2 linked regions of the Macaca mulatta genome follow. The protein of the gene in region 1 purifies or fractionates together with the protein of each later gene. This does not show direct contact. Links are inferred from orthologs where the notes say so. Each region holds a gene or a part of one and is shown in the gene's direction. Other genes may lie near its edges.

Region 1 (2,554 bases):
CTTAACAGAAAGGCTGTTCCAACGGTAGGGGGCGAGGAAGAGACCATGTTTCATTCCTAGTTTAAACATTGGAAGTCCAGGTATTTTGAAGATTACCTCATTTTTCAAAGGTAAAACCCCTCAATCTTCAGCCCAGGAAAATGGGACGCCTCACGCCTCATTTTTTTTTTTTTTTTTTTTTGAGACGGAGTCTCGCTCTGTCGCCCAGGCTGGAGTGCAGTGGCTAGATCTCAGCTCACTGCAAGCTCCGCCTCCCGGGTTCACGCCATTCTGCTGCCTCAGCCTCTTCTGAGCTGGGACTACAGGCGCCCGCCACCTCGCCCGGCTAGTTTTTTGTATTTTTTAGTAGAGATGGGGTTTCATCGTGTTAGCCAGGATGGTCTTGATCTCCTGACCTTGTGATCCGCCCGCCTCGGCCTCCCAAAGTGCTGGGATTACAGGCTTGAGCCACTGCGCCCAGCCTCATGCCTCATTTTAGCTGGGTGTCCTGAGTAGCTGAGACTACAGCTAATTTTTATATTTTTTTGTAGAGATAGGATCTTGCTATGTTGCCCAGGCTGGACTAGAACTCCTGGGCTCTAGCAGTTCTTCTCAGCCTCCCAAAGTGCTGAGATTTTAGGTGTGAGCCACCGCACCTAGCTGGTATCAGTTTTTGTACATTATTTTGTATGTGTTCATTTTCCTCATCTCTTGACTTATTTCCAGTAGTTTCTACATTGGAAGCAATTGGATTAAGGTGGAGAAGGAGAATGGATTTATTGATTTAATCCAGAGGCACTTTATGCACTAGTATATTATTTTCTTTTTCTTTTTCTTTTTTTTTTTGAGATGGAGTCTCGCTCTGTCGCTGAGGCTGGAGTGTAGTGCTCTTGAGATGAAGCAAGAGCATGCCTTGTAGGAGAAGGTGACAGAAGGAGAGAGCGTGAACGTGATCTTGGCTCACTGCAACCTCCGCTTCCTGGGTTCAAGAGATTCTCCTGTCTCAGCCTCCCGACTAGCTGGGATTACAGGCATGTGCCACCACACCTGCCTGAGTTTTGTAGTTTTAGTGGAGACAGCATTTCCCCATGTTGGCCAGGCTGGTCTCGAACTCCTGACCTCAGGTGATCCATCTGTGTCAGCCTCCCAGAGTGCTGGGATTATAGTTGTGAGCCACTGCGACCGGCCTATTTTCTATTTTAGTTTATCAAAAGAGCACTCAGAGATAAGAACCCTTTCACAGAGAGTGAGCCTTGGGTAGTGAAATGATACCAGATTTGGAATCAGAAGTCCTGGCGCTTGGCACAGGTCTGCCCATGGCTGAGGATGACTGTAGGACAGTTACTTCCTGTATGGGCCTCAGCTTCTCAGATGTTAAGGCCCACGACCTCCCCCACCACGTGTCTTTATAGGATGTATAGATAGAAAAGGCCTGTGTTTACCTATTTGCACATTAGCTCTTTGCATTGGTCTTGACATTTTACTTTTATTTCATCATTTTGTTGCATGTACTATATTTTTGTGAAAACATTCAGGGTGTAAATAAATAACACATTCACCATTTCTTCCATAGATCCCAGCTCTCCTGTTGGCTTCGTGCTTGGGGTAGATCTTCTTCACATATTCCCCCTGGAAGGAGCAACTTTTCTGTGCCCTGCTGATGTGACTGACCCGAGAACCTCACAGAGAATCCTCGAGGTGCTTCCTGGTGGGAGAGCAGATGTGATTCTGAGCGACATGGCGCCCAATGCCACAGGGTTCCGGGACCTCGATCATGACAGGCTCATCAGCCTGTGCCTGACCCTTCTCAGCATGACCCCAGACATCCTGCAACCTCGGGGAACATTCCTTTGTAAAACCTGGGCTGGAAGTCAAAGCCATCGGTTACAGAGGAGACTGACAGAGGAATTCCAGAATGTAAGGATCATCAAACCTGAAGCCAGCAGAAAAGAGTCATCAGAAGTGTACTTCTTGGCCACACAGTACCAGGGAAGGAAGGGCGCTGTGAAGCAGTGAGGATTTCTTGTGCCATTTTCATAATGGTCATTAGCTTCTTTTAAGCTCGAAACGTAGCCTGAGCTCCTTCCGGAAGAGTTCCTGGGAGATCTGAGCTGATTTTGGAGATGGAACAGGACAAGTGGGGAGTCTCTTTCTTTTTTTTTTTTTTGAGACGGAGTCTCGCTCTGTCTCCCAGGCTGGAGTGCAGTGGCGCGATCTCCACTCACTGCAAGCTCCGCCTCCCAGGTTCACGCCATTCTCCTGCCTCAGCCTCCCGTGTGGCTGGGACTACAGGCGCCTGCCACCGCGCCCGGCTAATTTTTGTATTTTTAGTATTTGGGGTTTCACCGTGTTAGTCAGGATGGTCTTGATCTCCTGACCTCGTGATCCGCCCATCTCGGCCTCCCAAAGTGCTGGGATTACAGGCGTGAGCCAGCGCGCCCGGCTGGGAGTCTCTTTCTTTCTCTCTCTCTTTTTAACCAAAAAGAGATGACAAAACTAAGTTCAGGGGCCATGGAAAATGAAAAAGTCCTCTATATTGATTTGTGAAGAGAAAGTTATCAAGAGAAAGAGGTGA
Region 2 (4,099 bases), on another chromosome or scaffold:
ACACTCCAGTGTGGGCGCAGGCCCAGCACAGGGCTCAAGGGCCCTGTTACAGAATTCCTGGAGGTTTAAATACCCTCTAGAGGATTCACTGGTTACTTGGTGTATACCCTATGTAAACGAAGAGAATGAATTAAAGTTACAAACTCATTTACTCGGCATACACCCTATGGAGAGGATATTTCTTGTTATAGCTAAAGTGTGAATCGGCCTTATGTTCCCTGCCTCCAGACCCTATTTTCCTGCCTCAAATCTCTAATACTTGATTTTGATGATTTAACTGTTGATCAATGCAAATATAAAAGACTTTTGTAAAGCATAGGCTATACTGTATGTTAATTCAAGGAATGTCAGGGCATGTACTAATGCTGAATTCTGAGAATCACGTGCTTTTGTACAGAACAAAGTCTGTTTCTTGAAATATTTTGAGTTAAATACTCCCTAAAACTCCTTAATAAAGGCAATTACAGAATCTGTTAATTGATATGTGGAATGGCAGTGAAAGAGGCTGTATTAGACGACTTGAAAACACTCATATTTGGAGCTTAATGAAAATATTCCTGCTCCCCAGAGATGAAATGTTAGTGAGAGTAGCAAATAATCTATTTTTATATGCCCGATTTGCATATTTGAGGCCATCTATTAACACCGTTCTTTAGGACCTCAACCTAGTCGTCTAAGACATCCTTATTAAACAAGGCCAATACGTACCATTTAACATTGAAAATAGTTAATGCCCTTCAAAATCTTTCAAAAGAATAAAAATTAAAAACTAAGTTCTTTGTAAAATTTTGCGGTTTAAAATAATTTTTAAAATTTTAAAAATTTTTTGGTTTCAAATTAGTGGGTGCCTCATTTATCATAAATTATAAAAGAGAATCTAACAATTATTGGCTACATTCTAGGCACGGGGTAACGCTTTATTGTTCTTCTAACCAAAAAAATATATGTATCTAAGTATCCTATGTAACGTATCATTCAATCACACAAAACCCTATGAAATACTGGCAGGGCCCGGTGGCTCACGCCTGTAATCCCAGCACTTTGAGAGGCAGAGGCAGGAGGATAATTTGAGCCCTCAGGAGTTCAAGACCAGCCTGGACAACAATAGTGAGACATCGTCACTTCACCATCATATCCAGAATTAATTTCTACTGTTAGGGCAGTCAGCGAAAGGAAAGCTCGCGATATTACACAAACTACTACTCCCAACATGCAAAGCGGTTTCTTTCCCTCTGTCCCCGCCCGGCCGTCCGAGAGCCCCAGCAGGCCTCGGGGCGCGAAAGGCAACCTGGAAGCGGTAGTTCTCCTGGGCGCCTAGCGGGATCGCCAGCGCGGCAGTGGGGCCTTCCGCGGCTCCAAGCCAGCGGGTCCTGTGAGGGCGAGCGGAGGCGGAGAAAGGGCGCGGGAGTGAGAGAGGGTGAGTCAGCCACTGTCTACGCAATAAAGGGAGGCCTCACCGCGGGCTAGGGCTGAATTCAGAAGTGCGGCCCGTGCCGCAGTCTGTTCCAGGACGCGGCTTGTCTTAGCGTCTGCGAGGGAAGGTTGAGGAGGAGCCAGAGCCGGGTCCGGCAGCCTTTCTCGCTATCAGCGCCCGTCGCCATCTCCACCATGCAGTCCCGGGAAGACGCCCCGCGCTCTCGCCGCCTCGCCAGCCCCCGCGGTGGGAGGCGGCCCAAGAGGATTTCCAAGCCCTCGGTTTCGGCCTTTTTCACGGGTCCAGAGGAATTAAAGGACACGGCCCATTCTGCAGCCCTGCTGGCACAGCTCAAGTCTTTCTACGACGCGCGGCTGCTGTGTGATGTGACCATCGAGGTGGTGACGCCTGGCAGCGGGCCTGGCACGGGTCGCCTCTTTTCCTGCAATCGCAACGTGCTAGCAGCTGCGTGTCCCTACTTCAAGAGCATGTTCACAGGTGGCATGTACGAGAGCCAGCAGGCCAGCGTGACCATGCACGATGTGGACGCCGAGTCCTTCGAGGTGTTGGTCGACTACTGCTACACGGGTCGTGTGTCTCTCAGCGAGGCCAATGTGCAGCGCCTGTACGCAGCCTCCGACATGCTGCAACTGGAGTATGTGCGGGAAGCCTGTGCCTCCTTCTTAGCCCGACGTCTTGACCTGACCAACTGCACCGCCATCCTCAAGTTTGCAGACGCCTTCGACCATCACAAGCTTCGATCTCAGGCCCAGTCCTATATAGCTCAGAACTTCAAGCAGCTCAGCCGAATGGGTTCAATTCGGGAAGAGACTCTAGCAGATCTGACCCTGGCCCAGCTGCTGGCTGTCCTGCGCTTGGATAGTCTGGACATAGAGAGTGAGCGGACTGTATGCCATGTAGCTGTGCAGTGGCTGGAGGCTGCTCCCAAGGAGCGGGGTCCCAGTGCTGCGGAAGTCTTCAAGTGCGTGCGCTGGATGCACTTCACTGAAGAAGATCAGGACTACTTAGAAGGGCTGCTGACCAAGCCCATTGTGAAGAAGTACTGCCTGGACGTTATTGAAGGGGCCCTGCAGATGCGCTATGGTGACCTGTTGTACAAGTCTCTGGTGCCAGTGCCAAACAGCAGCAGCAGCAGCAGTAGCAGCAGCAACTCTCTTGTATCTGCAGCAGAAAATCCACCCCAGAGACTGGGTATGTGTGCCAAGGAGATGGTGATCTTCTTTGGACACCCCAGAGATCCCTTTCTCTGCTATGACCCTTACTCAGGGGACATTTACACAATGCCATCACCTTTGACCAGCTTTGCTCACACTAAGACTGTTACCTCCTCAGCTGTCTGTGTCTCCCCAGACCATGACATCTATCTAGCTGCCCAGCCAAGGAAAGACCTCTGGGTGTATAAACCAGCTCAGAATAGTTGGCAGCAACTTGCAGATCGCTTGCTGTGTCGTGAGGGCATGGATGTGGCATATCTCAATGGCTACATCTACATTTTGGGGGGGCGAGACCCTATTACTGGAGTTAAGTTGAAGGAAGTGGAATGCTACAGTGTTCAGAGAAACCAGTGGGCATTGGTGGCTCCTGTCCCTCATTCCTTCTATTCCTTTGAACTCATAGTGGTTCAGAACTATCTTTATGCTGTCAACAGTAAGCGCATGCTCTGCTATGATCCTAGCCACAATATGTGGCTGAACTGTGCTTCTCTTAAACGCAGTGACTTTCAGGAAGCATGTGTTTTCAATGATGAAATCTATTGTATCTGTGACATCCCAGTCATGAAGGTCTACAACCCAGCTAGGGGAGAATGGAGGCGGATTAGTAATATTCCTTTGGATTCAGAGACCCACAACTACCAGATTGTCAATCATGACCGAAAGTTGCTTCTCATCACTTCTACAACCCCACAATGGAAAAAGAACCGAGTAACAGTGTATGAGTATGATACTAGGGAAGATCAGTGGATTAATATAGGTACTATGTTAGGCCTTTTGCAGTTTGACTCTGGCTTTATTTGCCTTTGTGCCCGTGTTTATCCTTCCTGCCTTGAACCTGGTCAGAGTTTTATTACTGAGGAAGATGATGCACGGAGTGAGTCTAGTACTGAATGGGACTTAGATGGATTCAGTGAGCTGGACTCTGAGTCAGGAAGTTCAAGTTCTTTTTCAGATGATGAAGTCTGGGTGCAAGTAGCACCTCAGCGAAATGCACAGGATCAGCAGGGTTCTTTGTAAATAGATTTTGAGACACTAAGATGTTTCTACTGCTACGGAATGTATTTTAAACACATATCCTTTCTTTTTCTTGAAAAAAAAAAAGTTGACCAGGACCACAGATTTGGTTTAGAAAGGGTAATATTTTGAAATACTACAAGGTTTAAACAGTCCACAAAATCGACCTGTTTAATAATATACCTTCCTGAAAGTCCAAAATTAAAATATGGAAGCAAGAACTATGTAATTGACTGGGATGCTTGGTAGGTTTTTTTCATTGTTCAAATATTCATTGCACAGTGGATTGTTTTGATTAGTTAGTATGCTTTTTTTTTTTTAATTAATTCAGTCTTCTGTTAATTTTTAAGTTTTGGTTAGTGCCACAAGGAATTTAACTTTTTAATCTGTACAATAGAAAACTGGACTAGGAATTGTTGGTGGAGTTTTGAAGGAT

What was found. Proteins that work in one complex are often made in the same cells at the same time.
Region 2: the proteins of MRM2 (region 1) and KBTBD7 purify together in Homo sapiens (co-immunoprecipitation; 3 studies listed by BioGRID and IntAct, counting the BioPlex papers as one, with this or other methods). This does not show direct contact. The link is inferred for Macaca mulatta from reciprocal best matches to the Homo sapiens genes MRM2 and KBTBD7.

Annotation. Positions count from the first base shown.
Region 1 is NC_133408.1:36,203,547-36,206,100, reverse strand, and holds the end of MRM2 (rRNA methyltransferase 2, mitochondrial), read left to right. Parts: intron 1-1,552; coding exon 1,553-1,995; 3' UTR 1,996-2,054; downstream 2,055-2,554. UniProt on the Homo sapiens protein: S-adenosyl-L-methionine-dependent 2'-O-ribose methyltransferase that catalyzes the formation of 2'-O-methyluridine at position 1369 (Um1369) in the 16S mitochondrial large subunit ribosomal RNA (mtLSU rRNA), a universally conserved modification in the peptidyl transferase domain of the mtLSU rRNA.
Region 2 is NC_133422.1:20,614,150-20,618,248, reverse strand, and holds the start of KBTBD7 (kelch repeat and BTB domain-containing protein 7), read left to right. Parts: upstream 1-1,299; 5' UTR 1,300-1,608; coding exon 1,609-3,666; 3' UTR 3,667-4,099. UniProt on the Homo sapiens protein: As part of the CUL3(KBTBD6/7) E3 ubiquitin ligase complex functions as a substrate adapter for the RAC1 guanine exchange factor (GEF) TIAM1, mediating its 'Lys-48' ubiquitination and proteasomal degradation.